Linked DNA regions of Callithrix jacchus. The protein of the gene in region 5 purifies or fractionates together with the protein of the main gene of each other region. This does not show direct contact. Links are inferred from orthologs where the notes say so. Each region holds a gene or a part of one and is shown on either strand. Other genes may lie near its edges. The genes, in order: FBXO21, FBXL4, FBXO42, FBXL18, SKP1, BCORL1 and ARB2A.

Region 1 (4,020 bases), on a different chromosome or scaffold from region 5:
GCAATGGGAGGAACGCCCAGCCCAGCCGCCTCCCGGTGCCAGGTCATGGAGGGCATGGCTGGGCTTCTCCTGGATCAGGGGCCATACCCACTCTTGGGCCAGGCCTCCATGGCCAGCAAAGAAGGGCTCACAAAGCACCATCCTTTAGCTGTCAGGATCTCAATTATTCTGGGGAGGTCGGGAAGCATGTGAAAGGATTTCAGCTTTTTAAATACCTTTTTTATTCTTTTGAGACGGAGTCTGGCTCTGTCGCTCAGGCTGGAGTGCTGTGGCACAATCTTGGCATACTACTGCCTCCCAGGTTCAAGCAGTTCTCTGCCTCAGCCTCCCAAGTAGCTGGGATTACAGGCACCCGCCACCACATGAGACTAATTTTTGTATTTTTAGTAGATGGTGTTTCACCATGTTGGCCAGCCTGGTCTTGAACTCCTGACCTCATGATCCACCCACCTCAGCCTCCCAGAGTGCTGGGATTATAGGCATGTGCCATTGCACCCGGCCTTTTTATTTTTTTTATTTCATTTTTACAGTCTTTTTTTTTTTTTTTGAGAGGGAGTTTCGTCCTTATTGTCCAGGCCAGCGTGCAGTGACACGATCTCAGCTCACTGCAACCCCCGTCTCCCAGGTTCAAGCAATTCTCCTGCCTCAGCCTCCTGTATAGCTAGGACTACAGGCATGCATCACCATGTCTGGCTAGTTTTTTGTATTTTTAGTAGAGATGGGGTTTCACCATGTTAGTTAGGCTGGTCTCAGACTCCTGACCTCAGGTGATACACCCACCTTGGCCTTCCAGAGTGCTGGGATTACAGGCATGAGCCACTTCACCGAACCTTATATTCTATTTCTCTAGTGGCAAAATTTCTCTGCAGAGAACAGGAAGAGGAGGTAGCATGATTTTCCCAAGAGATGTACAGATAATAACAGCTGATATCCACGTGGGATCTGGAGGTGCAACCACCTTCCATTCAACCCTGGTCTCACAGCAGCCCTGGAAAGAGACTGCTCGCTGTTGGAAGCCCAGGGCCAGTGCTGGAAGGAGCTTGGGTGGAAAGTGTGGTCTGCGTGAGGGACTCCTGTGATAGAGGAGAGTGGTAGCAGGTACAAGACTTGTCACCACGTGACGTGGCAGCTTCAGAAACTTAGCCACTGCCAAAAAAGGAGCAGGCAGGGATAATCTTGTCCCATTGTCCAGTCAGAGAGACCTAGTGAGTCTGTTGTTTGCCAGTTCCTAAGAGACTGTTGGAGTTTTGCTGGAGCCAGACATCCTGCTCAGAGATTTGGAAAATCTGCTGTTCTGTGGGGAGCTTTTGGGGAACCCATACCATGGCCCACATTCTCGTGATTGCCACTCGCTGCCCTTTTCCCATTACCCTCTCCTGGCTCCATAAACATCTTCAGCCTTCCCTTCTACATCTCAAAAATGCCACTTGGAAAAGGTGATGGGAGGTTCTCTGGATAAAAGGTGCTGTAGAAATTGACAGTGTAATGAGAATGCCCATGTGCCTCTTTACCAACAGAAAATTTGGAATATAACGTGGAGCCTCAAGAAATCTCACACCCTGACGTGGGACGCTATTTCTCAGAGTTTACTGGCACTCACTACATCCCAAACGCAGAGCTGGAGATCCGGTATCCAGAAGATCTGGAGTTTGTCTATGAAACGGTGCAGAATATTTACAGTGCAAAGAAAGAGAACATAGATGAGTAAAGTCTAGAGAGGACATTGCACCTTTGCTGCTGCTGCTATCTTCCAAGAGAACGGGACTCCGGAAGAAGATGTCTCCACGGAGCCCTCGGGACCCGCTGCACCAGGAAAGCCACTCCACCAGTAGTGCTGGTTGCCTCCTACTAAGTTTAAATACTGTGTGCTCTCCCCCAGCTGCAAAGACAATGTTGCTCTCCGCCTACACTAGTGAATTAATCTGAAAGGCACTGTGTCAGTGGCATGGCTTGTATGCTTGTCCTGTGGTGACAGTTTGTGACATTCTGTCTTCATGAGGTCTCACAGTCGACGCGCCTATAATCATTCTTTGTATTCACTCCATTCGCCCGTCTGTCTGCATTTGTCTTATAACATTTCCTTGGCTGGACAGATGGGGTTATGCATTTGCAATAATTTCCTTCTGATTTCTCTGTGGAACATGTGCAGTCCCGAGTGAGGACTGTGTGTCTTTTTACCCTGAATTTAGTTGCATATTCAGAGGTAAAGTAGTGTGCTCTCTTGGCAGCATCGTAGAGACAGAGACATTAACAATCTAATGGTAATTAGAATCATTTGAATTTATTTTTTTCTAATACATGAAACACAGATTTGAAGTGTTTATCTTTTTTTTAAAATTTAATTGGGAATATAACACTTTCCCTTCCATATTTCTCTTGAGTTTATGCACATCTCTATAAATCATTAGTTTTTTATTACATAAAATTCTTTGAGGAAATGCATAACAGTGAATTTTGTGAATGGATTTTTCCTTACTCATCTACAATTCCTCCCTTTTAAATGACTACTTTTTTAACTTAAAAAATCTACTTCAATATCAGGAGTAGGTCTTAAATCAGTGATGGGTTCTTTTTGTAGTAAGACATAGAAATCTGATGTTAAATGTTTGCTCTTAGAAGTCATCCTCCCTGGTCTCCAAAGACCAAAAAATGAGGCTTCGCTTTTGTGATCAGGAAAAAAAAAATTCGTGAACCTTAAAAAAAAGTTTCTGAAGGTAAAAAAAAGTGGTTTCACACCTGTTATTCCTTAGAGTCATTTCAAGGCCTGTTCGAATGCAGCAGGTTAGAAAGAGAATGTCTTTCATTTGAAGAGTGTTGGACTCGTGGGAAAGGAGATGTGCTTGTTGTAATCTGCTTTTCCAGGCTGCCAGGGTCCTGACAGCAGCAGGACGAAGCCTGTTTTGATATCTTCTGGGAAAGCCTGACTATGTTCAGACAGTCCTGGCTCCTTCCCAAAGTTCTCAGTAACTGAGCCCGGAGTACCTACCTGCATGCCTTCATGCAGCTCTGGAGCTCCTCCTCCTCCCGGCCTGCCAGTTCTCATGTGAGCTAATCTTGTCATTAATTGATAGACGATAACTTCTGGAGTTAGGACCTAGTTACTTTGCTCTCGACTTTTAAAATAATGCAGTTGCTCTAGTGAACGGGGTGTTAGGGGCCTGTCTGTGCGCCTGTCTGTCCATCTGCATGCAGTATTCTCACCCATGTTGAATGACTGCTGCCTGTTTACCCTTTGGAAACCCTGAGGTGACCGAGGAAAGCCACCTGAGACCACTTAATAGCAAGGGAAGGCTTTAAGCAGTTCCTAGAAAGAGATGGGGATTTGGCCCCAGCTCCTCTAGCCTGAGTTAGCTGTTATCCACTGTCCACGTTCCTTATGAGTTCAAATCCAGAGTCAAAGGATTTGAACCTGCATTTGGAAATGTGACCACTCACAGCGCCTGGCCCACTGAGGTTGGGAGGATTGTACACTACTCTCATTTAAAGGGGAAAATTAGATAATATGGAATTAATATTAATGAGATGCATTAATAAGAAACTGTGAGCATGCTGAGAGTTACAGTTGTTGGTTTTCTGGTTTGACTGATTTCCTTTTTTCATAGAAACATCAAAGCCAAGAAAGATGGTTTACCTTTACTCACCCAACTGTAAATATGTATCTAGACTGTTTTTAAATGTGTTTCTTCATGACTGCTTCATGGGGCTCCAGGAAGCCTGTATCACCTGTGTAAGTTGGTATTTGGGCACTTTATATTTTTCTAAAAATGTGTTTTGGATCCTGTACTCTAATAAATCCTAAGTTTCTTTTTAAAAATTTTCCAAAACTTTTCTCCATTTTAAAAAGCCCTGTTATAAAAGTAGAACTTTCACAATGTTAAAATGTTAACTATTTGGATATAGCAACTTCTTTTCTCCTCAAATGAATGCCAAGATTTTTTTGTACAATGATTAATAAATGGAACTTATCCAGAGAAACCACTCAAATGGACTGCCCAATTTCGTTTCAGGACAGAAAGCCCA
Region 2 (4,477 bases), on a different chromosome or scaffold from region 5:
AACAAGGAAATACATATATTGAAAAGATATCTGCACTTCTATGTTTATTGCAGCACTACTTACAATAGCCAAGATTTAGAATTGACCTAAGTATCTATGCAACAGATATATGGATAAAGAAAATGTGGTACATGTACACGATGGAAAATTACTCTGCCGTAAAACTCTCCACAAAATCCTGTTACCTGCAGCAACATGGATAGAACTGGAGGTCATTATGATGAGTGAAATGAGCCAAGCACAGAAAGACAAATAATGCATGTTCTCACTCATATGTGGGAGCTCAGAAAGTGGGTCTCAGAGACTGAGAAGTATTTGGGAGGGGGCATGGGAGAGTGAGGGGAGATAAAGAAAGGTTGATTAATGGGCACAAACATAAACTTAGAAGAAATAAGAACCGGTGTTCCATAGATCAGTAGGGTGATTATGGTTAAGGTTAATCAATAGTACGTGTCAAAATAGCTAGAAGAGAATAATTTGAATGTTCCTAGCACAAAGAAAAGATAAATATTTAAGAGAATGAGTAATTCAGTTATGTGGATTTGGTTACAGAAATGAATTGAATTATCATGTGTACCATGAAAATATGTACAGCTATTATGCATGAATAAAAATAAAAAATTTTAAAAGTTGAAGAAAATAAAAATGTTTCTCTTTGTATACAAGATATACTGCATATTGTATATTGATTCTGTTCATATATAAGTAAATATCCTTACGGTTTTGCCTCATAAGGAACATTTAGACAGCAAATAATATTTTTCATCTTAGTGGATGTTTTGTAACAAGATAAATATGATGCAAACTAAAAAAGTGCCATACTGAATTTACCAAAAATAAATCAAAATGAGTGAGAGACTACCAGACCTTCTTCATCAGAGGTAATGGTCAGACGCTTCTGAACGTTGGAAATGGGTCTGTAGGCAGGATTTGTACGCAGGGCAGAAGTTTGTAAACTAGAGGAATTATACCTTTTGAGCGCATATAGTGGATATTGTACTCTTCCTCTAAGTATGCGTACCATTCGTATTACCTATACATCGCCTGATTTCACCAAGTCTGGACCGAAGAAGTCCTAGCAGGACAACTACAGAAGGCGAGTCGGTTCTTGGAGGGGATTATTCCGCAGAGGATATGCAGCCACTGCCCGCTGCGGTTATCTAGGCTCTTTACACGGCCACCAATGGAGTGGGGAAGCCAGCAGGAAGCTCCCGCCCCTGGCCCGGGAGGGGGCTGTCCCTATGGCCCAGAACACCTCCCATGGAAGGAACGCCAGGCTTTTTTCTCGGCTCCGCTCCACCTGCCACCAGGCCCCGCCCCACGTCGGCCCCGTCCCGCCTCCCCGGCCCCTTCCGCGTCTTCCTTCCGGGTCGCGCCGGGCCGGGCTTGCCGCCGCTGTGCCGCAGCCAGAGAGTTGGGGAGCCGCCCCCACGTCCAGACCTTTTCGCGCCGCCTGGTCGCGGGTGAAGCCCGCGGCGCGCGCCTCTCCCGGACCCTGCAGGGTACGGCCCTTCCTTTACTTCTCCCTCCCGTGGGTCTCTGCCTTTTTCTTTCGGGGCGGGGCCAGGGCCGAGCCAGGGCGCAAGTCTGCGCTTTGGGGAATCTGGACGCCTGGCAAAGGCCCCCGCTGCCCTCCCCTCCCTGTCCGCGCCCTCGCGCCCCGGCTTCGCGCTTGCGGGGCTTGCTGAGGCCGCTGAGAACTGCTGACGTGCCTCTGGCTGCTTCTCCGCCACACTCTGCCCGCAGACTGTGAGGCATCGTCCGGAAGTGTGCGCGGCTCTGGGTTGTTTACACCGCGGAGGACTGCGGGTCGCCCACACCCGCGCTCCGTGCTGCCTCGGCAGCCACGCGTCGGCCACATGCCCGCCTGTGCTTGTGATTCCCGTGCCTGCTGCCTTGATTTCCTTCTGACATCCGATGGTTTTTGCCTAACCAGGCCTATGTTTTCCTTCTTCAGGACTGCCACAAGGTGCCCAGCTACAACCTTGTTAATGTTTTTAGGTTTAGGGGTGCCCCTTCAGTGTGAGGATGACCGTCTACTTGGCCTCCTTGCCAACATATTTATGACGGGTGGTTTTGGATTTCCTTGGTTTCCTAGTGATTATTACTACAAAGCTTCGAGATGCATTCACAGATTGAAATACAGTATACAAATAACTGTTGTAGAAGGTGAAGATGGTATAAGCCTGTGGTCAGGTAGTTGTGTTGGCAGCATGCCCATCTGGCTTTGTGCCCCAGAGGGCTCACTACCACTAGGTGCAGGATCTTTGATTGCTTTGGTCTGTTTGCAGACAAGTTGCCTTTTCTGCTTCTTGCGTGCACCCCGTGGTTTCTTAAGTTCAGGTATAGGTATACATTTTTTTTCTTTCAGGCTCACTTCCTGCCTCCATTATCCTGTACTGCATATTGTACCTGTTGGTTGAGTAGAGATTTATCCAGAGCCATGAACGCTCTGATAATCCTTAATCAGATTAAGTACTTGGGGGAAATGTGGATCATGTTGTAGTAGGCACTCTAAAAGTTCCTTCAATTGGATTCTTCTTTCTACACTTCTGTTCTGAGTACTAACTTTTTTTAACTTCTGTCCCAAATGTTGGCTTTTCTGAACTCTGTATTTTCAAACTCCTCCCTTCTCTTACTGACTTGAAAATCAGAGAAATCAGCTCATTGTAACATGGATAATTTCTTTACTCACACTGTGATAAAATAATGCAATAATAGTACTCTGTGCAATGGTACATATGGTCAGTTAACAAAAACTGCCCCTTTCTTTACTGTACTAGTCTCATCTTAATTTTGCTGTGGTTAACATTCTCTATCTTAACTTCGCTGATCTAACTTCAGTGTCCTTTTAAAAAGGCCTTTATCCGCATGAATTGTATATCCACCTCCTTTTTCTTGTAGTATTGTTAATTATCTTATTTATATTTTAGTGTGAGATAGGAAGGCTTCAACTTTATATTTTGTTAGTGACTCCATCGTCATTTGTTGAATTCTATTTTTTGCTACTGATCAGTACTATAAATACCGTAGGTCCTAAATTCCCGTCTATTCTTGGGACTTTCTGAACCGTTGTGCAGTGTTCTTTGGCTTCCTATGGTGATCCTGGCTTCTGTGATGCTCTTATTGCTCTAGGTTTGTAATGTGTTTTAATGCCTAGGGATTTGAACGATGCCTGGCATATTGTAGATATCACTAAATATTTTTGAAATGAACGCATTTAGTGGAGGCAAGTTGATTCCCTTTCTTTACCTCTTGCCTCCCTCCCCCATTTAAAAGTTTCTTGCCAGTTATTGAGATTCATTTATTTTAGCTTTCTTTTTCCATGGTCAGTTGAATCATGAACTGTTAATAAATAAATCCCTTGTGTTGCTCACTCAGAATTTGACACTAGAGTTGCTTCTTGCAGTTACATAGAGAAGCAGCCTGATTAAATATCTGCATGCCTTTTGACTTTGCACTGTATCATATAACTGTAGTGTGTCTCCTAGTCAGCTATGATTTAGGATGTTCTGTACCTGGTTTCTAAAAGAAAAATGGTTATCTAAGAGATAAATGGCTGTAGAAGTGTTCCGTTCGGACATCCAAATATCCATTTGTATTTTACCATCCCAACTGGATATCCTAAATATACATTTTAAGATGTTGTTGTAATGGACACCTAAAAACCTTATTAGATCATGAAATAAATGTAGGCATTCTTTAAAAAAGATCAAGCAATACAGAAATACTCAAAGGAGGAAGTGAAAGTGCTGTGTGCCCACCTACCCAGTAACCTTGTTCCATAAAGATTACCACTGCTTGCAGATTTTAAAAATAAATGTGTAAGTCTACCTTTGTTTCATAGATGGCAGTGTACATGTATAATTTTCTATAGCCTCCACTTAATAATAATTGATTAACATCCTTCTGTGGCAGTGCATATAATAGTATCTTGTCTTTTTTGTAAGTCTTTTTGTTATTTCATTGTAGGAATAACCCAAAAGTTATTTAGCCAATCCCCTGTTGGCATTTAGGTTATTCCAAATTTATTACAAACAGAACTGCAGGTCGTTTTTGTGTTTATATTCTGTATACTGTCATATTTGCATGTTGGTTTATTTTCTTAGATATGAAATTGCTATGCCAGAGGTACACCTAAGTGTTAAATTGAGAGATTCTGCAAAAGTGCTCCTCAAAAGTTGTTGGTAAGAGTAAATTTATACAATTTGTTAAAATGCTGCTTTTACTGTATCACGTTGCCAAAAATTGTCAAGGGTCTGAGATCATACCTTACTTGCAAGCTAACAGTTTCATGGAAACTGGCAGAAAATGTGATACTCCTGATTCAGAGTCAAAGCACCACAGTAACGATAGCCAGATGATCATCTTGTGCTGATTTGCTGGAACCCTGATTTCCACTGGTTGATGTAACAAGAGCCCAGTGACACTAGCATGTGAAGTAGGTTGTGTTACAGGAGAGGAATCCTTAGTTTAG
Region 3 (4,564 bases), on a different chromosome or scaffold from region 5:
ATCTTGGCTCACCGCAACCTCTGCCTCCTGGTTCAAGCAATTCTCCTGCCTCAGCCTCCTGAGTAGCTGGGATTACAGGCGCACACCACCATGCCCAGCTAATTTTTGTATTTTTAGTAGAGACAGGGTTTCACCTTGTTGACCAGGATGGTCTTGATCTCTTGACCTCGTTATCCACCCACCTTGGCCTCCCAAAGTGTTGGGATTATAGACGTGAGCCACCATGCCCAGCCTCAGTGCACTTCTTACACTATACAGAACTTAATGGCTTTCCTTGTCTACCTCCCAAGCCATACTGTCTGCAACTTCAGACCAAAAGCTGTCTTATCTGTCTTATCTTACAGTTATTAGTACCTACTTCCCAAAACACCTGCCAAACAGAGGGCCTTTATTCGGTAGCTCATAAATAGGAATAATCAATTTTATATTTACCTTTTATTTTACATTTTACAAAGCACTTTCACAAACACTGTCTTTTTTGACCCACATTAACAATCATGGGAAGGGCTTTATTTAATCAAATGGCTTCTGGTTTTATAAACAGTTACTTCGATGACTAAAACAATCCTGAAATCACAAAGATAATTACATGTTTGTTCATCTTTGAGATAGCTTCTCCTTGGGATCTCAGTGTTCTCATAAAATTCATGTTTTGCTAGCATTTTCTTTGCTTGCTCTCGATAATAGGTAGGACTCATCCAGTTCTGAATCTGAAGGGTTTAAACTTAATAAAGCAATTATTAAAGACCCTTCTAGAAACCAGACAAGAACAAGCATCCTAAGCTACCTTTTTCTGATCCTGTTCTTTTTGTAACTGAGTAAGGTAAGGAATTGCAAAAGTCAAAATCTGGAGAGCAAATGATGTCATGGATGTCACGCAGTTGCATCAATAAGTGATGATGATTTAGCATAACAGTGCAACATATTATGCCAAGAAGCATAATGATGAGCCACCAGGATGTTTTACTGCATTAATTTCATGACTCTTTATTAGTGAATTGATATGCAAAGTAGCTCTCCAATTTTCTACCACAGAGAAGCTGACAGTTCAGATTTACATCTTTAGCAAAGACACTAAGAAAATCGACAAATTTCTACGGAAAAGTCTGATTTAAAAATAGAAAAGGAGGCTGGGCACGGTGGCTCAAGCCTGGCAAAGGTGGGGTATTGCTTGAGACCAGGAGTTTGAGATCAGCCTGGGCAACATGGTAAAACCCCGTCTCTGCTAAAATTACAAAAACTAATTAACTGGGCGTGGTGGTGCACGCCTGTAATCCCAGCTACTCAAGAGGCTGAGGCACGAGAATCGCTTAAACCCAAGGGATGGACGTTGCAGTGAGCCGAAATCATGCCACTGCACTCCAGTCTGGGTGACAGAGTGAGAGACTGCCTCAAAAAAAAAAAAAAAGGAGAAAGAGAGAGAAATGGTCAAATAATAACCGAAACAGTTGTCATTTCACCAAGGAAAATCTTTTTAAGATATACAGCATGCCCATGGATCAATGTGGATTGAATAATGCATTTATATTGGCATGTCAAAAGCAAATAGTTAAAATAACATACAATAGAAAAGACACCCAATCAGATTACACACATGAATACACTCAAAGTTAGCAATTAAACACAGCAACACCAATGTTCATAAGAGCTATAGACTTATTTCTAAATGTTCAATTGTAAATGATGGTACTTTCCAAATTTTCCTTCTCTTTAAATCCATGACGTCACCATTCTTAAGCACAAGTAAAGCCAATGTGTTACAAAAGGTATTTTGGTGTGTCCAAGCAAAAGCAATTGCCTCAACAATTCCCCACAGCACAGTCCAATGAAGCCATCATTCCTCAAGGAAGAGGCCACAAGGCTTCAAAACCGACTTCCCTACATGAGAAACACAAAGTCTCCCAATTAGCATTTAAACAACAACAAAAGTTGTTCTCCAAAAGGAACAAGCATAGTTACAATGTTGCTGCCGGCAAGTGAGAACTGGTAAAGCGTCAGATCTTCATCTAGATCCATCAGAATCCCACCACAGAAAAATCCAAAGACTCTGGCAATTAAGAAATGAAGCCTTTATTTTCCTAATAAAAGTCGGGAGATTTAACAGACAAAGCAATTGGCTATTCTGAATCTTAACAATCCGAAGGTTTCAAACGAATTCAACTGGCGCTGAGGTTACCCTGCAGAGACCATCAAGATCTCACAATTGCTTTCTCTTCGCTTACAAATTCGTTCCCACCCTCCACCGTTCCCTTACCACACACAATTCTCGCCAAGAGAAGTCTTCCACAGTCACAGCATGGATTGCTGTCTCAAGCAAGGAGATCCGCAGTTTCCATTTCTCTAGGGGAACACTCAACAAGCTAGGGGCTAGGAAAGGCCGCTTATTTTATTTCACGAAAACCAATTTCCAAATTATCCCTCTGCAACTGCAGCTTCAGTGATGCTGGCCCCCAGCCGCAGCCCCAATTTTGATGGGCACCCGACTCCCGGCTCCTCTCTCGCAAAGAAGTAAAAGGTTCGGAGGCCCGATGAAAGATTATCTGACACCCTAAAGCCATCCTTGCTCGGGCCACACATCCCTTCACTGCCCGGGTGAGGGGACGAGAATCACCCTGCTGGGGAGAGAGGGTGGGTTCGCTCCCAACCCAAGGGCTGGCTGGAAAGGAACTCTCCTCCTCTCCTCCTCACTCAAGGACGGCGATAGCAAGGCGCCCTGCCCAACCAAGACCGACCCCTGCGCGGGATGCGGGACCTGCGCCAGACCAGGGGCGCCCGCTGCCCCTTGCCAGCCCCGGGCATAAAGGGCAGGAGGCGCCAGCTCCCCATCGCGGCCCCGGGAGGAGGAGAGGCCTCACCTGGCCCAGCCCGCTCCAAGCTCTCGGGTTCGCTCCGGTGGCGACGGTAATGAGGGAGCCAGGGACAGGGCCAGAGCAGAGGCGCTGTGCCTAAGGCCGCGATAGCCGTGCTCCGGGCTCTTCACAGCTGGCGGGACCCCAAGCCACCCAGAGCCGCCATCTTCCTCCACTCAAACCCCGCCGCCGCAGCTGCTGCTCTAGCCGAGAGAAGACAGAGCAGAGCGCGCATGCGCAGGGGCGGGCACGAAGGACACACGCGCGCGCACTCACGTCAACGCGGCGGGCCGGCGCGGGGCGGCTAGGGGGCGGCGCCATATTGAGAAGGGCTGTGGCTACAGACCAAGATTCTGTGGAGGATGGAATCTTCCGGGGGTGCGAAGCTTCCGCACCCGTCTTCGCCGCGTCTCCAGCGTCGACCTCATAGCCGCACCCACCCTCCGCTGCAAATGTCTGGAGCACCTGGGTGGTTTTCCCTGTGATTTGAGACCAACCTTTAGCCAGGAATTAACTAAGTTCTACCCCGAGGGCCCGATGAGCACAGAGGTGGCGGATGTAAGTGCCCCTGGACATCCCCACGGGGAGGGAAACTCCGCCTGAGGTGTGCAAGAGAAGCCTCCCTTAATCGTAGTAGCCTTGTAGCAACCACTGTGTGAGGTGTTTTACTAGCTCCACTTTTCAGATGAGGAAACTGAGGCACGGAAAACGATCAGTTATTTGTCCAGAGCCACACACCTAGCAGTGGAGGTGGGGCGGCGCGGGAAACATAGGATTTAAACTCGGGCATGTAGGATTCCCAAGTTCCTTTACATCCTACTGGCTATCACCAAGGGATAGATTCCAGCAAAGCCCCCTCCCAAGGGAGCAACCTGGTGTGTAGGTGAGAACGAACCTTCACGAGCTTAGCCCTACATACAGCATGTGGTCTAAGGAAATGCCAGATGGAGTCAAGGGCTTCAGTCTAAACTCCGTAAGCAAAAAAAAAAAAAAAAAAAAAAAAACTAAGCCCCTCCCCACCACCACTACCACCACACCAAGCATTCTGAATGGACTTTCTCCTAGGCCAGGCCAGAGAGGTAAATTGACCAGGGCAGTCTAAATTTAACATGGTTCAGGCCATGACAGGAAGTGGGGGTCAGACATGCCTCATTATACCCTCCAGCACTAACATCAACACAACAGACCTTAAGACTGATTAACAATTGCAGGCCGGTTGCGAGGTGGCTGACACCTGTAATCACAGCACTTTGGGAGGCCAAGGCTAGCAGATCACGAGGTCAAGAGATCAAGACCATCCTGGTCAAAAAAAAAAGGTGAAACCCCATCTCTACTAAAAATACAAAAATTAGCTGGGCATGGTGGTACGCGCCTGTAGTCCCAGCTACTCGGGAGGCTGAGGCAGGTGAATCGCTTGAACCCAGGAGGCGGAGGTTGCAGTGAGCAAGAATGTGCCTCTCTACTTCAGCCTAGGCGACAGAGCAAGACTGTCTCAGAAAAACAAACAAGAGGCCCGGCGCGGTGGCTCCCAGCACTTTGGGAGGCCGAGGCGGGTGGATCACGAGGTCAAGAGATCGAGACCATCCTGGTCAACATGGTGGAACCCCGTCTCTACTAAAAATAGAAAAAATTAGCTGGGCATGGTGGCGTGTGCCAGTAATCCCAGCTACTCAGGAGGCTGAGGCAGGAGAATTGCCTGAACCCAGGAGACGGAG
Region 4 (4,020 bases), about 57 Mb from region 5:
TCCCGGGTCCAAGCAATTCCCCTGCCTCAGCCTCCAGAGTAGCTGGGATTACAGGAGCATGCCACCACACTCAGCTAATTTTTTGCATATTTAGTAGAGACAGGGTTTCACCTTGTTAGCCAGGGTGGTCTCAATCTCCTGAACTTGTGATCTACCCACCTTGGCCTCCCAAAGTGCTGGGATTACAGGTGTCAGCCACTGCACCCAGCCATTGAATCAAACTTCTAAAGCACAGAGATTCTGAGAAGTCTCCCATCTGGTTCTCGAAACCCAGGATGCCTGGGCCAGAGCATGAACAACCGGGCCACTCCCCAAGCACGGAGCCCTGCGTTGGCTTGAGCTGAGAATCCAGTTGGCAAATCCAGGCCCTGGCGACTCCAGCAGGCAGGAAATAAAGAGGCTTTAGCGATCTGCTCTGTCTTTTGAAGTCCTGGGTTTAATCCTGGGCTTCTCACCCCAACACTAACAGGTCTGCAATGGGAGGCCAAGAAGAAGGGTGGCACCCAGGCTGACTGCAGGGCCCTCGAAGGCTCCAAGGTGTCAGCCTCGAGCTCTGTCGCTCCCGAGCAGACCCAGCCACTTCCGGCCATGCCTTCTGCGGGAGAGTGGAGATTTATAAGGACACCCTTATCTCTGCTCTGCATGGCTCCAGGGCCAAGGTCAAGCACTGGCGTCTGCAAGAGACTCAGCTCCCCGAGCTCCCACAGCCTCATGTGGAAAATGGCAATGGCTGCAACCTTAACAGATTGTGGTGGGGATGATGGGCTGAGGGCATGGCTCTCAGCAAATGCACAAAGTGAACGCTAACAATTGTGGGGACAATGACACGTGCCCGCATGTCCCCTTAGGTGGAGGTATGACTTCACGTACCCACCACCCACCCCACTAGCTAAGGACTCATGGAGACAGCAGGTCACTATCTAAGCCCTGCCCCCACTGTCTCCCAAACCCGAGTCCCTTATAGCACTGAGGTTCAAGGCCTTCACTACCTTTTGGGTAATTTTTTTTTTTTGAGAGACAGAGTCTTGCTCTGTTGCCCTGATTGGAATGCAGTGGCATGATCACAGGCAGCCTCGATCTAACCTCCTGGGCTCAAGCAATCCTTCCACTCAGCCTCCTGAATAGCTGGGCCTACAGCCACGAACCACCAGACCCTGCTCATTCTTTTATTTGTTTTGCAGAGTTGTGTGTGGTCTAGCAATGTAGCCCAGGCTGGTCTCGGACTCCTGAGCTCATGAGATCCTCCACTTCAGCCTCCCAAAGTGCTGAGATTACAAGTTTGAGTCACTGCAGCCAGACCACTCTGGGTAATTTTTCTTGTCTTCTCTATTCTTTTCTTTTTGAACGCCTCACGCTCTCACCCAGGCTGGAGTGCAGTGGTGTGATCTCGGCTCACCAAAACCTCTGCCTCCTGGGTAAAGAGCAATTCTCCTGCCTCAGTTTCCTGAGTAGCTGAGACTACAGGTGCCTGCCACCACGCTCAGCTAATTTTCGTATGTTTTTGGTAGAGACAGGATTTTACCATGTTGGTCAGGCTGGTCTCCAACTCCTGACCTTAGGTGACCTGCCCAACTTGGCCTCCCAAAGTGCTGGGATTACAGGAGTAAGCCACCACACCCGACCCCATTTGGGGTCATTTTTCATGATCGATTTATCTGCCAAGATTTCAAATGCCTCTCAAGTTAACAAATTATTCCTTAAATGCTGGGAACTGACAAGAATACTGTTTGCTCCACAGCATAATCAGCATAAATTCATTTTGTGCTTGGCTCTGGAAATGCCATGGGTCCCCAACACTGTCTGGGGTAGAGCTCTCCCAGGCCAGTGGTTCCACCTCTTCCCCGCTCTTGGATGGGTCCTGCTGCTAGTCCCAGGGACCGTCACCTCCCAGGAGTCTGTGGTGCCCCTCCTGAGCCAACCTCTCCCATCTCCTACATCCTGTCCCCTACAGCCCATGTGGGATGCCCAGGATGCCGCTCCCTCTCCCGGGTGAAGGCCCTCAGCACTGTCACCACCTGCCTTGTCCACCCCATCTTTCCCACTCCCTCTCACCTCCCATTGTCCCCTGGACCCTCTGACCTGACTGCTCTCTGGCATATTTTCAAGTCTCTGGGCTTCCTTCACATGGTGCTTACTGACCCAGGAAGCCTCTGCCCTGCCAGGCATGGTGGCTTATGCCTGTAATCCCAGCACTTTGGGAGGCAAAGGCAGGTGGATCACCTGAGGTCAGGAGTTCAAGACCAGCCTGCCCAACATGGTGAAACCCCATCTCTACTAAAACAACAACAACAAAAAATAGCAGATGTGGTGGTATACACCTGCAGTCCCAGCTACTCGGGAGGCTGAGACAGGAGAATTGTTTGAACCCAGGAGGCAGAGGTTGAAGTGAACAGAGATGGCACCACTGCACTCCAGCATGGGTGACAGAGTGAGACTCTGTCTCAAAAAGAAAAAGACAAAAAAAACAAAGATGGAGGCCAAGTGCAGTGGCTTGCACCAGCACTTTGGGAGGCCAAGGTGGAGGATCACTTGAGCCCAGGAGTTCGAGACCAGCCCGGGCAATACAGTGTCTCTTCAAAATTTTAAAAATATATATATATAGCCAGGCATGATGGCATATGCCTGTAGTCCCAGCTACTTGGGAGGCTGAGGCAGGAGGACTGAGTGAGCCCAAGAGGTTAAGGCTGCAGTGAGCTATGATGGTGCCACTGCAATCCAGCTTGGATGACAGAGCAAGACTCTGTCTCAAAAATAAATAAAAGTAAAATTAAAAAAAAAGAGCGGGGTGCGGTGGCTCACACCTATAATCCCAGCACTTTGGGAGGCCGAGGCAGGAGAATCACGAGGTCAGGAGTTCGAGACCAGCCTGGCCAATATGGTGAAACCCTGACTCTACTAAAAGAATAAAAATAGGGCCGGGCACAGTGGCTCACGCCTGTAATCCCAGCACTTTGGGGGGCCGAGGCGGGTGGATCACAGGTCAAGAGATCCAGACCATCCTGGTCAACATGGTGAAACCCCATCTCTACTAAAAATACAAAAAATTAGCTGGGTGTGGTGGCGCATGCCTGTAATCCCAGCTACTCAGGAGGCTGAGGCAGGAGAATTGCCTGAACCCAGGAGGCGGAGGTTGTGATGAGCCGAGATCCCACCATTGCACTCCAGCCTGGGTAACTAGAGCGAAACTCCGTCTTAAAAAAATATATATATATAAAATACATATAAAATAAAAAATTAGCTGGGCGTGGTCAGGAGGCTGAGGCAGAAGAATCACTGGAACCTGGGAGGCGGAGGCTGCAGTGGGCCAAGATGGCACCACTGCACTCAAGCCTGGGCAACAGAGCGAGACTCCATCCCAAAACACAAAACAAACCCAAAACCTAAAATGCAATTAAACACACACACACACACACACACGCACACAAAGAATTGCAGTCAGGTCAGAAAGGCCTGGGTTCGAATCTTAACTCCCCACCTACTAGCTCTGCTGTGTGGCAACAACCACAAGCACCTGGTAGGCTTGTGAGAGGATTAAGCAGGATGACTCACAGTAGGGCCGGGACAATCACTCAAACACTATCAGGAGTGAGGACGCTAAGCTCAGCCATCCGCCTCCTTCCTGCACCCCGGGTTCCTCTAGATGCCGCTCTCCCCAGAGCCCCCTGAGCCAAGCATGGGACGCGGTGAGGTCCCACCCCAGCCTCTGCACTCCTGGAGGACAGGCCTGTGGCAGGGCCGCCTCCAAGTTCCACGACAACACACTTCCCTCCGCCAGCCTCCAGCAGAGGCCCGGGAGGTCCCCGCAGACCCCCTCACCTGAGGTCCCTCAGCCGCTTGCAGTGCTTCAACATGTCCGATAGCGCGGGCATGTACACCACCTTCCCCATCATGCCCAGGTTGGCCAGCGACAGGGACCGCAGCTGCTGGCACTGCAGGCCAATACTGACCAGCCCGGAGCCCGTCAGGACGCTGGGCAGCTGTGCGAGCGTCAGGTGCCGCAGGAAGGCCAGCTGGCCGATG
Region 5 (4,020 bases):
CTGTCCAGTTACATTTCTCCCAAAAAACCACAAACTGTGTAGTAACTGAGTCTCTAGGCAATATATTTAAAGCTAAGAGGATTAAAAATAAAATTAAAGAAAAAGAAGACAAGTCCTCAGATGCAATGAAGGGAGGAGCCCTGCTAAATACAGGCTAATCAATATGGTGGTACTCCTTGCCTGCAGGAGGCTGAAAGACATCCTAGTAACTCCACTCAGAACATTTACTTCAAGAAGCCTTTTGCAGTTTCCAACTCATGAATAAAGATAATATTTTGTTAATTCTATTCCAGATAACTTTTTTGCAGGTTGTTTTATTTACAATGCCAACTTTTAAAAGGTCACTAAAGTTAACTGGACAATAAACTAGGCAGACACTGCTTTACAAAAAAGAGGGAAAGCCCAAAATGCCACTTATAGAGAACCCACAGTTCAGTTTTATTCAGAGCAAAGAAAAAAGAAACTTTCAATCATATTAGAAGAAACTCAGCCATAGATTTGGAATCTGTACTCAAACTACACATGCAATGAGGACAATATTCTGCTAATACAATTTACTTACTGCTGCATTTGTCTACTGTTTGTCTAATATTAACAATTATAAACAGAGCAGTGCAACTAGTACTTGGAACGATCCTTACAGTGTTACAGTGTCAGGCACAACATTTCACTTCTCTTCACACCACTGGTTCTCTTTGCGTACCTAAAAGAGATGGATATAAGGAAGTACCTTAACTTTAGTAGTGTTTCCTAAGACTTAAATATACTACCTACTGATTCATCGATAGCCAGTGAGTCAGTAGAATAGATGGAAAATCAGAACACCAGACTGAGACTACACTTCTGGATTTCCTTTTTTTGCCTCCCAAGGTTTTTATTCTGCCCTGCTGAAATTCTGAACAAAATAAAGACAATGGGCAGTTTACTAAAGTTGACAGAGCAAATTCAGTTAGTTAACTGACACAATTTCAGTCTGTAGTCATGTCAACAAAATCATTCTGATCTATTTTTTCATTTCCTCCCCTCATTAAGTTGCTCTCAAGTGCCCTAGCATACACTTCTCTAGGGCCTGCTTTTCTGAAGTCAGATATGTATGGTCTATACAAAAAGCTGCAGATGCCAGAACTAGTAACTGTTAACACATTTACAAGAAAGAGCTCCTCTTGTTGAAAACTAATTGTTCTTATGCTTAAAAATGCAGTATCGGCCGGGCGCAGTGACTCACGCCTGTAATCCCAGCAGTTTGGGAGGCCGAGGTGGGTGTATCACGAGGTCAAGAGATGGAGACCATCCTGGTCAACATGGTGAAACCCTGTCTCTACTACAAATACAAAAATTAGCTGGGCATGGTCGCACGAGCCTGTAATCCCAGCTACTCAGGAGGCTGAGGCAGGAGAATTGTCTGAACCTATGAGGCGGAGGTTGCGGTAAGCCGAGATCGCGCCATTGCACTTCAGCCTGGGTAATAAGAGCAAAACTCCATCTCAAAAAAAAAAATGCAGTATCATGTAAGTGTTTAGACTCATACAGACAGTACAGTAAGAGTATGTTTAAGACACAGAAACTACCTAGTATCCCTCAAGTATCAAGACTACTTGATACAGTCACCTCTTTTCTGGTGTATTACAGGCTTTAGTCCCTTTTTAAGAGCATGCGATCAGAGACAAAACTGTGTGCCACCTACCTGGGCTTCCTCCTCTTCAGTAAAGTCATTTTTGATATTGAAGGTCTTGCGAATCTCCTCAGGAGTTTTCCCCTTGATCATATTGGCAACAGTCTTGCATGTAACATCAAGCAAACCTTTGATGTCTAAGTAGTTTGCAGCCTGTAAAGAGATAGTTGTTTTCCTTAAAGTATACTTGATGTTTTAAACTAAATCTAAAGTTAATGATTGAAACTCCATGTCTAATAAAGCTTAAAATGATAATTTTATTAAAGGGAGAAGAATAAATCACTCATAAGTTCCTCCATGAAAGACTTTTATGTGACCTTTGTTACATCTCTATGATGCTGAATCCTTCTGCTTCCTTAACCAAACTGTATTAGCTCAAATGTTAATGGCCACTACTGTTGTGTATGTGTGTACAGACACACATCAGATCTTGACAAATACCACATCAGATCTTGACAAAAATATTTGTCCACACTTAAAGAGTTCAATAAGCAGTTATAGCATTATATTTAGTGATCTGATTTTTAAAAACAGGTTTTGGTTTCACTGACTTTATTACCTATTTTCTATTTCACTGATTTCTGCCCTTATATATTCTAATTCTTCTGTTTGCTTTGTATTTAATTTCATCTTTTACTAGTTTCTTAAGGTGGAAGCTTAGATCACTGATTTGAAACTTTTCTTTTCTAATAATATAGGTATTTCATGCTATCAATTTCCCTCTAAGTATTTCTTTTGCTGCATCTCACAGATTTTTCATGTGTTTTATTTCTATTCAGCTCAAAATACAAATTCTTTTTATTTCTTCTTTGACTTACAGGTTATTTGCAAATGTGTTAGTTTTAAAGAAGCTGCAGATTTTTCCAGTTACCTTTCTGTTTGTGATTTCTAGTTCCATTGCAGAGAACATACTTTGTATGGCGTAAATCCTTTTATGATAGAGATTTTTCTTTTTGAGACACCGTCTCACTCTGTCACCCGGCTGGAGTTCAGTGGTGCAATCTCGGCTCACTGCAACGTCTGCCTCCCAGGTTCAAGCGATTCTCCTGCCTCAGTTTCCCAAGTAGCTGGAATTATAGGTGTGTGACACCACACCCAGCTAATTCAGGGGTTTCATCATATTGACCAGGCTGGTCTCAAACTGCTGGCCTCAAGTGATCCACATGCCTCGACCTCCCAAAGTATTGGGATTACAGGTGTGAGCCACTGTTCCAGGCTGAGACTTGTTTTATGGCCCAGAACACGGTCTATCTTGGTAATATACACTTGAAAAGGATATGTATTCTGCTATCGTTACATATAATGTTTTAGGCCAGGCACAGTGGCTCACACCTGTAATCCCAACACTTTGGGAGGCCAAGGCAGGTGGATAACCTGAAGTCAGGAGTTCGAGACCAACCTGACCAATGTGGTGAAAGCCCGTCTCTACTAAAAATACAAAAAATTAGCTGGGCATGGTGGCAGGTGGCTGTAATCTCAGCTATTCAGGAGGCTGAGGCAGGAGAATCACTTATCTCGGGAGGAGAGGTTGCAGTGAGCAGAGACTGCACCACTGCACTCCAGACTGGGTGATGAGTGAGACTGTCTCAAACAGATACATAATATATAGATATAGATAGATAAAATGTTTTATAAATGTCCATTAAGTTGGTCAATAGTGTTATATCAAGTTATCATGATTTCTGTCTACTTGTTATATTAATTGAGAGAGGTACTGAAAGCTCTATGACTGCAAATTTGTGGACTTCTTTGAGTTCTTCTGGGTTTTGTTTCACTTCTTGAAATTCTTCTAGGCAAATAAACATTTATGATTGTTATGTCTTCTTAAAAAATGGATCCCCTTAACGATACAAAATAATCCCCTTTAACCCTAGTAATATTCTTTGCCTCCACATCTATTTTAACATAGTCACTCCAGCTTTCTTTTGATTCATGTCAGTATAGTTTACCTTCTTTCATTCTTTAAACCTAGGTGTGTCTATTTCCTTAAAGTGGGTTTCTTACAGACAGCATAGCTAATCTTGCTTTTTTGATCTGTTAATTTCTGCCTTTTAACTGTGTTTAGACCATTTACATTTAGTGTGTTACTGATATGTGGATTTAAATATGGCATTACATTTTAATTCAGAGTATTAAAATTCAGTGTCAATGAAGTTAGCAAATTTTAAATCTGTAAGAAGTAATATTTAAAGGCTCTGGAATAGAGCTATTTTATATGTTAAAAAAAACTTACCAGATGCCAGGCATGGTGGCTCATGCCCATAATCCCAGCACTTTGGGAGGCTGAGGCAGGTGGATCACAAGGTCAAGAGATTGAGACCAGCCTGACCAACATGGTGAAACCCCAT
Region 6 (4,628 bases), on a different chromosome or scaffold from region 5:
AATAGCAATTGGTAGAAAAATAAGAAGAGTGGAAGGGACAATGCCACAGAGGGGTCAGGGACAGGGATGCAACCCAAGCTCCTCTCTCTCTCTCACTGGACAAACCCAGTGCTGGAGCCTGGAGGCCAGGGGGAGGCCAGGTGGGGCCACCACTCAACCTCAGGTCCCCAGGCAGGAGAGGAGCAAGGTCTAGAGATCCCTTTCCTGCCCTTGCCTAGAATAGCTGACCCCTGGATTTCACATCTGGCAGTCAGTCTCAGAGCCCTCTGCAGATTCCCAAGGAGAATGGGGGTCTGAGGGAGGAGGAGTGGGGAGGAGAGGAAGGAAGGGGTGCTGCGAGTCTAGGAAGGGGCAGGGATGGGGGGGCCGAGGGCTGGGAGGTGAGAGGCTCAGTATCTCGAGACAGGGAGGCCAGAATGAGGTTGGGGGAGTGGGGGCACTGGGGAAAGGATGCAGGAACAAACTCATATTGTGCACTCAGAGGGGGGCAGTGAAGAAGGTGTGAAGAGGGGCACCCTCACCCCTCAGATCCCTTCTCCACACCCCTTTATTAGAGTCACTTATTAAGCGCTGGCCCCACAATCCTCCTCTCCCTGTCAACACTAATCTCAAGATAGTGGGGCTGCTGCAAAGGGCGGAAGGGGGCGGGGGGGAGCACCAAAGCCTCAGGATTTACCCCCAAGCCCCCAGCCCTAGGCCAGCAGCAGCTAGCTTCGTTAGTCACAAGTTCATGTCCCCCCCACCCCACCCCACCCCAGTGGGGGGGGGGGAACCACCTGGGAATAGCTTTGTCAGAGCTCATCAACAAAGAAAAAGGAAGGAGGTAAAGAAAGTCCCTCAGAACAACAAGTTGTCTCAAATCGTCACAGTGATACAGACTTCTCAGAAACCAATGAAACAGTACAAATTAAATACTAATCAAATAAATACTACAGAAGACAGAAGAACACAGGGGAATGGAGTTGGGGGGGCGCTCAGCGATCGGGGATTTTCTCATTTCTCCTTGGGACAGGCCAAGGCCACCCAGGGCCCAGGTTTGGTCTTGGTCATATACAAGGAGGCCAGTCCAAGGGACCCCGGCGACACCTCCCACCACCCCTGGGACCTCTTGTCCTCAGACGTGGAGTTCAGCTTTCCACCCCCATCACCAACCACGACAACAATGATGACGACAGGGAGATGAGAACTAATTGTAACCAAAAAAACAAAAACAGTCCAGTCGCTAATGCTGGCATTGATAAGGCGGCTTCTTGTTGGTCCGTATTATTGCCTCATTCTGCAGTCTGGTGCTCGGTGGGGGAAAGACAAGGGAGGTGGGGGAAGGGTGAACTCGGAAGGAGAAAGAAGAAAAGGAGGGGCTGTTTTCCTGGTCAACTTTTGCAAGACTGGAATTCCACCTCGGACCCTAGGAGCCGAAGTAGGTCTGGCTCGTACCGCACCAGCTCCACAGTCTCAGAGGAGCCTGGGGGGGATCTGTCGTCCAAGCCTACAGGCCTCTCGGCAGGGGTCAGCAGCTGACTGGAGGCCACCTGCCGGTAGAACTCAGCCTTGGGCAAGGTGGCGATTTCAAAGTGCGGGAACCGGGCTTGAAAGATCCTCGAGGAAAGCTTCAGCCTCTTCAAGACATCAGAAAAGAGAAACCAGTTGCAGGGCCTGCAAAGACAAGGATGGGAGTTATGGAAGGAGGCTGGGGCAGCAGTGGGGGCACCGACCCAGAACACCCTGCAAAGCCCACGAAGGCTGTGCGGCCACCCTCATCTCCCATTATAACTCACTGCCAGTCTGGCTCCCCTGTCGCCTGGTAAACCACAGGCTCCTTGGGTACGGCTGAGGCAAATGTCTTCTGTCCCCTGCAATACCTGGTCCGGCTTTCAGCTAAACGGTGAGCACTCAATCCGTGACCGATCTTTTCCGAAATAACACAAGCAGGAGGGAAAGGGGCCTTCCAGAACCTCAAACTCTAGTGGGCTTCCTGGGGACTTAGCCTGCACCCTGTGACCTGGGATTCACCATTTGCTGGGACTGGTCTTCCCCCTCCCGGCATTCCCGCCCCTGCCAGCCCGGCTGGATTCTCTCTCCAGTTCTCTCTCACTTCCCTGGCCTCCTTGCTCTCCATGATCTTCCCCAGCAGAGGGGGAGCCGTGGAGAAAGGCCTAAACTGCGGGTAATCCAAAAGGCATTTCTCTTTGGCTCTGGAATGCATTAGACAATTCTTTTCTCCGGCAGCAGCACCATCATTTCTGCAGGGCCAGAGCTCACATTACAGTGAGTTGAGTCTGACTTTGCTGAGCACACTCGACTGGGTGGCAGCCTGGGGACAGCTGGGAGGGGTGCTGGAGAGGCCAGTCCCGGGCCAAATGCTTACATTGACTAATGCAGGAAGAAATGCTGCCTCCCCACGTTAGTGGTCCCAGTTCACAGAATTTGCCCTCCTCATTATTCCACGACCCCAGCTCCAGCCTTTGCCACTTCTGGCCTGGGCTCCAGCTTATCAGCCTCCTAACTGGTTTCCCTTTGCCAGGGGTCACTCTTCTGCACCCCTACTCACCCTCATTGGATCATCTGTTACCATTACAGTTTTCTACAAAGAAAGTCTGACCTTCCATTCCCTCACTAAACAGCTTGCAGTGGATCCCCAGTGCCTCCAGAAAAATTCTAAATTCTTTTGCATGATTTTTTTTTTCTTGACATGGAGTCTCACTCTGCCACCCAGGCTGGAGTGCAGTGGCAAGATCTCAGCTCACTGTAATCTCTGCCTCCTGGGTTCAAGCAAGTCTCCTGCCTCAGCCTCCCGAGTAGCTGGAATTACAGGCATGCACCACCACACCTGGCTAATTTTGTATTTTTAGTAGAGATGGCGTTTTACCATGTTGGCCAGGCTGGTCTCAAACTCCTGACCTCAAGTAATCCACCCGCCTCGGCCTCCCAAAGTGCTGGTATTACAGGAGTGAGCCACCATGTCTGGCCACTACCATGATATTATTATATAAGACCTTCTGCTCACACCTGTAATCCCAGCACTTTGGGAGGCCGAGGTGGGCGGATCACCAAAGGTCAGGAGGTTTGACATCAGCCTGGCCAACATGGAGAAACCTCATCTAAAAAAAAAAAAGATCTTCCAACTTCTTCAGCCCAATGTCCACTTAATCACACACACACATACCCCACATTTTACCTCCCATCCCAGCAAGCACCGGTCACATGATAAAAGACTCCCCCTACTTTCTGAATTTGTATGTTTCAGTGCCTTGCTCTCTCCATCTTTCCCTCCTTCCCCGCCCAGCTCAGGGAGATACCATATCACCTGTGAAACCTTCCCCACTTGTAACTCATTGTTCCTCCATCTCCCGTGGTCTCGTGGCATTTGATTCACAACCCTATTGTAATACTATCAACAAAGCCCACTTCTGACAGGATTGCAAAAGAACCTTAAACTGTGGTTCACTCTGCGGCATAGCAATGGGGGCTCAGCGTGGACGGGAACTTTTTGCATTTGACACCCTTCTGAAAGTGTTGGAGTTTTTTTACAATGAATCTGATTAGGACATTTTGTCTTTGATTAGGGTTAATTATATACTTGTTCGTCTACTACACTAGACAGTGAATTCTTCGAAGGCCAGAGCTGAGTTCTGGTCCCCAGGGTTTGACCTGGCGCAGCTGTTGAAGACATGTTTATAGAATCAAATGTTCCATTCCAGTGCCTTAAACATCTAACCAGACCCACGATCCTTATCCCTAAAATGCAACATTACTCCCAAATGACAGCAAGTTCTTATCTCACAGGAATAGGAAATGGAGCGCTTTGGGTTAAGAAAAGGGGACTAGACAGATAGCACACACTTGGACCATCACTTCCAAAGAATGGGAAAAAGCCCTGAAAACATGCACACTAGTAATGAGAATTCAGTCTTGCTTTGGTGATTCAGAAGGTCCTTCTGCATGCCATAGGGCCTCTGAGGCATCATTCTACACTAGCACCCCCACCCCCAACTTCTTCAAGAACAGACATTTTCACAGTGTGCTGCAGCTGTGGGGAAGGGCAGCTCTAGAAGGAGCGCTGGAGGATGTCATGTCAGGAAAACCAGCTTTGCTGGTACTGGGCTCTGGGCTAACCACGTGCCTGCCACTGGCTCACTGAGGGGCACGCAGCCCTCGGTGGCCCGTGTTCTGTCTGCACCTAATGCAGACTACCCTGGTCCTTTTACTGCCTGAAGCCCAAGATCCTATTTCAGAGAGAGAGGTGCTGAATACATCGGAGGAATTAATTAACCATGCAACACTATATCCCAGAGGCCCCTCCTTGCCCTCAGGGATCAGCTTATGCCCAGAAGAATAAGGACCAAAAGCCCCTGAAACTTGATCTCTACTAGTACCATCATATACGCTATTTTTATTCTGATCAGGCCGTGTGTGTGTGTGTGTGTGTGTGTGTGTGTGTGTGTGTGTGTGTAGGGGGTTGGTGGGGTGGGGGGAATGCAAAGAAACTGTGGTGTAATGGTTAGAGCCCTAAACAGAGGCTCTTACTTAAAGACCTCCTAATCCATTGTCCATTCAGCTCCCTATCCTGTGAATATCATGCTGGTTCACTGGATTATTTTATTTTATTTTATTTTTGAGATGGAGTCTCA
Region 7 (4,536 bases), about 42 Mb from region 5:
CTGAACTGTTTTCATGGCAATTTGAACCAAAAGATTTATTTATTATTATAAAAAATGGGTTTCTTTTTTATTCATAAGTTTGGAGTTACTACAGATACATAGTCTATAGACAATTGGAGGTTTTACAATTATAGAATCAAAGAGTTAAAAAGCAATAACAGATATGGTGGCTGCCTTCTAAACCCTTAAAAAGTCCACCAAATAAATCTCCAAAAATTTTTATTAAATCATATCTTAAAATGAATTCATAGAACTCCAAAAATATATACCAGTGGTCAAAAAGTAAATGAAAAGATGCTTAACATCAGCAATCATTAGAGAAATGTAAATTAAAAACACAGAGAGATACTACTTTACACCCATCAGGATGGCTATTATCAAATAACCAAAAAAATGTGTTTGGCAAGGATGTGGAGAAATGTTGGTGAGGATGTGCAGAAACCAGACTCCTTTGCTTTGCTGGTGGGAATGTGAAATGAGGTGGCTGGTGTGGAAAAGTGTGTCAATTCCTCAAATATATGGAGACATATAAAATGTCCATGTGATCTAGCAATTTCCCTTCCGGACAGATATCGAAAAGAAATGAAAGCAGAGATTTGAACAGATATTTGCACTCTCATGTTCAAAGCAGCATTATTCACAATAACCAAAAGATGGAAACAATCTAAGTATCCATGGACAAATGAATGGATAAACAAAATGTATTAACAGCATACACACACAATGGATAATTGTATTTCACCTTAAAAAGAACATTCTGATACATGCTACAACATGGATGAACCTTGGAGACATTATACTAAATGAAATAAGACAGTCACAAAAGGTTAAATAGCGCATAATTCCACTTATGTCAGACACCTAGAGTAGTCAAATTCATAAGAGGCAGAAAGTAGATTGGCAATTATCAGGGGCTGAAGGTAACAGAAAATGAGGTGTGAGAGTTTAATAGGTATGAAGTTTCAATTACGGATGATGAAAAACTTCCGGAGAATGAGTGAAAAGTAAAGTCACTCCATGACTACTGTGCAAACCCAATCTGACTCTAAAAACAGAGACAGTGCAAGTTGTATAAAACTGAGTAAATAGTGCTTACTTTTGTTAGAGCTCAATGAAGAGCGTGGAAACATCTCTACATATCTACAGAAGCCAGATTCTCCTCAGGGGTCTGTCTAGGAAAGCTGAGAAAAATAAACTGTAAATAAATAAAATCCCTCATGCACCCAAATTACGGAATATTGTTGAGATTGCTGCCTCCATGCCTACATTCTTGCTATTCCAAAATATATCAAACATGCTCCTGTCTCTGTGCCTTTGTACTAGGCCAACTAATTCCCCAGATACTTGCAGAGCTAACTATCTCACTTCATTCATATCTCTACTTAAATGTTCCCTTATCAGAGAGGCTGGGACTGACCACCCTATCAAAATGGCATCCTCTAGCACTCTCTTTCCCCTTAATTTGCTTTATTTTTCTCCATACCTCTTTTTTTTTTTAGAGAGGGAGTCTCACTCTGTCACCCACGCTGGAGTGCAGTGGCCTGATCTGGAGACATTGCAACTTCCGCCTCTCTGGTTCAGCAATTCTCCTGCCTCAGCCTCCCAAGTAGCTGGGACTACAGGCGCACGCCGCCACACCCAGCAAATTTCCTGTATTTTAGTAGAGATGGGGTTTCACCTTGTTGTCCAGGCTGGTCTCGAACTCCTGAGCTCAGGCAATCTGCCCACCTCTGCCTCCCCAAAGTGCTAGGATTACAGGCGTGTGCCACTGCACTCACCCTTTCTCTATATCTCTTAAACACTACTTGTTAAATATTTGCTTGTTAATTATACCTCTCCATCAACTAGAATGTAAGCTCCAGGAGCAAAAGGACTTTCTATTTTGTTCACTACTGTCTTCCCATGACCTGAACACTATCCCGCACACTGAAGGTTGCCAGAAAATATTGGCTAAATGAATAAACACGTGGATGCTCATGGTTTCATAGATAATATTTCCCCTTTGGCCCTGGTACTATTCTACCATATGCAGCAGTCATAGTCTGAAAGCTTCCTGAGCACCCCCAACTTTTCTGTGTAGGCTTCACTGGCTAAGTAGAAGTAACAGCTAGTTTAAAAGTCTAAAAGAAGCCTGGTACCAGCACTGTCACTGGGGCCTTAGAAAAGCAGATCCAAAAACACTCTTACTAGGTGTCTACATTTGCTAAATGTATACAGTGTAACTGTCCCTCGCATTGTAGGATAAAGCCCTTATAAATGTGATATTTATTATGCACTATATGGCATGTGTTAATACAAACGATGTCATGTACTGCATTAAAAAAATCGCATTGGTATTTTCATAAACATACGAGGCACTTGCAGACAAAATCCAGAGATTTTTTCCCTCTACAGCCTTTTTGAGGACTTGGGAGAAACGGACAAATTCAACAACACTGCATGTCACTAAATACAGTATATCCAAAACACAAATAATGAGTTTCTTGGCCCAGCAGACTTATACCGTGGAGCACTATATGTCAAATACCTGGATGAGGGAAAGAGAAGACTGCTTCCAAAACATACTTACTTTATTTCAAAGTCAAAAGTATTCGACACTTAATTCATACTGCATCCCAGAGAAACGTCCCACCTGTGCTCATGCATGTTACAAGTTTTGAGAGCATTTTATACTGCATTTTCATCCACCTGCAGTGAATGACTTCTGGTAAAGCGTTGGCGGTTAATAACACTTTTTGTAGGGAAAAAAAAATTAATCAAAGAACCACAATAACTCCTCTTCCCAGAAAGCGGAGGAGGGCCCATTACTCTGTCTCCAGGGACTCCCAGAATCCCATACGCCCAGATATAAGGAAAGTCATCCAGGGAACACACGTGTCGCTCCCGCCTGGGGGGTGGAAATGGCACATGGGACCTGCCCATCAGCGGGGGCCCAGGCACAGGTCAGAGGTGTCCGCAGGGAACGCAGCGTGGTTGTGACAGCCTCGGGCCCCAGGACCAGCGACTCCCGCCCAAGACCGACCCAGGCCAGCCCCCTCCTCGGATTTCGACCCAGGCCTGCCCCCGGAGCTCACAACCCCGCAAACGCAGTCCTACCTGAGCTCTGCCCCCAGCTACAGGGCTGAGGGGGCAGGCGGGAGGAGGCGTGGCCTTCCAGTTCGCCAGTCGAACTCCCTCGTGCGGTTGTTATGACTTTCCCTCTCGGGATCCGCGCCCCGACCAAGTTAGAGTTGCACTTCCGGGGTCTGCAGGAGACTGACACGTCATTACGCACGCGACGGCAGCGGCGAAGACAACCCGGAAATAGGCGGGGCGCGGCCCCCGGGTTGGTTCTGTGGTGATAGGTGCGCTGAAGAGAGTGGCCCGCTTGAATTAAATGTAGACCTTTTGTGTAGTGTTGCTCTCTGCTCGCCCTTCCTTATTAAGGCTGCCTGGGTAGCCGTAGCGGACGACGCCACCCTAAAACCTTGTTCTCCAGGCGGAATTTTAAAAACCATTCTGAGGATGGCCTTACAGCCAATTTCCCACTCCCCACTGACAGTGTATCTGACTTTACCCTGCCCATTCAACTCCAGAAAAACCGGGAGGTCGAGATTTGGAAGATAAAATTTACCTTCGAATTGTGACATGTAAAACAGGAAGTTAATGCTAGCATGCTAATGACAATTGAAAGTTTTCTCGTTATCATACTTGACTCAAATGGAAATCTTAATGGATATTAATGTTTTTTCCAGAAACAGATTTGAAAGGTATTTCAAGGGTACATCTGTGGGGAGGGATGGGAGCAACTGATTTTTAATTTTTGGATACTACCCTCAGCGTATTTAGTCCAAAACTGTTAATTTAATGAATTAGGCTAATCTAGATGCTTGGGGCAAAAGCTGAGTTAGACCTCCTCTCGTCTCAGGCAGCTAAGTAGAAGGAAGGACTGGTGGCTGACAAGTAAACCAACAGTTACGATGTTCTTCAAAGAGGAGATCCCAGACTCTCTATACTTCACTCCCACATAGTTTTACTTCTTAATCTCTACTCCTTACTTGTTTCCTTCATAAAAGTACAATGCTATTCATTTATTTATTTACAAATGTGCCCTGTCCCACTAAAATGTAAACTCATTGCTGGTAGTGACCTTGTTTTTCAAATGTGTCTTCAACCATACAACAACAGTGCATGTCCACAAAGTAGACAATATTTATTGAAAGACTGAATGATCACAGTGGTAAATACTATTTTGGGGAAATTTAGAAAAGTGTACAAGATCAGAGAGACAAATGATATAAGTGGTGGGAGATAAGGAGCAATGTTCCCAAGAAGGAAGAGAATCCACTGGAGTTAGCCAGGACTGAGTACCTGGATGAAGCCTGGGCATTGTGAGACTGTTAGGGCTTCATTTCTGGAAAGAACTCAAATGGTTTGTAGAGTGACATTTTATTCTGAAGAAAGCAACAACCAGATTTTGAAAAGCTTCCTATGTCGTGCTGAGTAATCTGATTTTCTGCTGCAGACAAGTGGGGGAACTGAAGGATTGTTGAACAG

The links.
Region 1: the proteins of SKP1 (region 5) and FBXO21 purify together in Homo sapiens (affinity purification with mass spectrometry; 6 studies listed by BioGRID and IntAct, with this or other methods). This does not show direct contact. The link is inferred for Callithrix jacchus from reciprocal best matches to the Homo sapiens genes SKP1 and FBXO21.
Region 2: the proteins of SKP1 (region 5) and FBXL4 purify together in Homo sapiens (affinity purification with western blotting; 9 studies listed by BioGRID and IntAct, with this or other methods). This does not show direct contact. The link is inferred for Callithrix jacchus from reciprocal best matches to the Homo sapiens genes SKP1 and FBXL4.
Region 3: the proteins of SKP1 (region 5) and FBXO42 purify together in Homo sapiens (affinity purification with mass spectrometry; 8 studies listed by BioGRID and IntAct, counting the BioPlex papers as one, with this or other methods). This does not show direct contact. The link is inferred for Callithrix jacchus from reciprocal best matches to the Homo sapiens genes SKP1 and FBXO42.
Region 4: the proteins of SKP1 (region 5) and FBXL18 purify together in Homo sapiens (affinity purification with mass spectrometry; 3 studies listed by BioGRID and IntAct, with this or other methods). This does not show direct contact. The link is inferred for Callithrix jacchus from reciprocal best matches to the Homo sapiens genes SKP1 and FBXL18.
Region 6: the proteins of SKP1 (region 5) and BCORL1 purify together in Homo sapiens (affinity purification with mass spectrometry; 3 studies listed by BioGRID and IntAct, with this or other methods). This does not show direct contact. The link is inferred for Callithrix jacchus from reciprocal best matches to the Homo sapiens genes SKP1 and BCORL1.
Region 7: the proteins of SKP1 (region 5) and ARB2A purify together in Homo sapiens (affinity purification with mass spectrometry; 3 studies listed by BioGRID and IntAct, with this or other methods). This does not show direct contact. The link is inferred for Callithrix jacchus from reciprocal best matches to the Homo sapiens genes SKP1 and ARB2A.

The regions. Positions count from the first base shown.
Region 1 is NC_133510.1:120,185,426-120,189,445, reverse strand, and holds the end of FBXO21 (F-box only protein 21), read left to right. Parts: intron 1-1,517; coding exon 1,518-1,708; 3' UTR 1,709-3,984; downstream 3,985-4,020. UniProt on the Homo sapiens protein: Substrate-recognition component of the SCF (SKP1-CUL1-F-box protein)-type E3 ubiquitin ligase complex.
Region 2 is NC_133505.1:104,969,875-104,974,351, reverse strand, and holds the start of FBXL4 (F-box/LRR-repeat protein 4), read left to right. Parts: upstream 1-1,356; 5' UTR 1,357-1,502; exon of another isoform or gene 1,503-1,969; intron 1,970-4,477. UniProt on the Homo sapiens protein: Substrate-recognition component of the mitochondria-localized SCF-FBXL4 ubiquitin E3 ligase complex that plays a role in the restriction of mitophagy by controlling the degradation of BNIP3 and NIX mitophagy receptors.
Region 3 is NC_133508.1:53,659,078-53,663,641, forward strand, and holds the start of FBXO42 (F-box only protein 42), read right to left. Parts: upstream 3,069-4,564; 5' UTR 2,856-3,068; intron 1-2,855. UniProt on the Homo sapiens protein: Substrate-recognition component of some SCF (SKP1-CUL1-F-box protein)-type E3 ubiquitin ligase complex. Specifically recognizes p53/TP53, promoting its ubiquitination and degradation.
Region 4 is NC_133503.1:17,027,863-17,031,882, reverse strand, and holds part of FBXL18 (F-box/LRR-repeat protein 18), read right to left. Parts: coding exon 3,817-4,020; intron 1-3,816. UniProt on the Homo sapiens protein: Substrate-recognition component of the SCF (SKP1-CUL1-F-box protein)-type E3 ubiquitin ligase complex.
Region 5 is NC_133503.1:74,176,389-74,180,408, reverse strand, and holds part of SKP1 (S-phase kinase-associated protein 1), read right to left. Parts: intron 1,826-4,020; coding exon 1,685-1,825; intron 704-1,684; coding exon 668-703; 3' UTR 642-667; exon of another isoform or gene 1-641. UniProt on the Homo sapiens protein: Essential component of the SCF (SKP1-CUL1-F-box protein) ubiquitin ligase complex, which mediates the ubiquitination of proteins involved in cell cycle progression, signal transduction and transcription.
Region 6 is NC_133524.1:125,714,806-125,719,433, reverse strand, and holds the end of BCORL1 (BCL-6 corepressor-like protein 1), read right to left. Parts: intron 1,654-4,628; coding exon 1,371-1,653; 3' UTR 854-1,370; downstream 1-853. UniProt on the Homo sapiens protein: Transcriptional corepressor. May specifically inhibit gene expression when recruited to promoter regions by sequence-specific DNA-binding proteins such as BCL6.
Region 7 is NC_133503.1:116,527,461-116,531,996, reverse strand, and holds the start of ARB2A (cotranscriptional regulator ARB2A), read right to left. Parts: upstream 3,258-4,536; 5' UTR 3,097-3,257; intron 1-3,096. UniProt on the Homo sapiens protein: Plays a role in the regulation of alternative splicing, by interacting with AGO2 and CHD7. Seems to be required for stabilizing protein-protein interactions at the chromatin-spliceosome interface. May have hydrolase activity.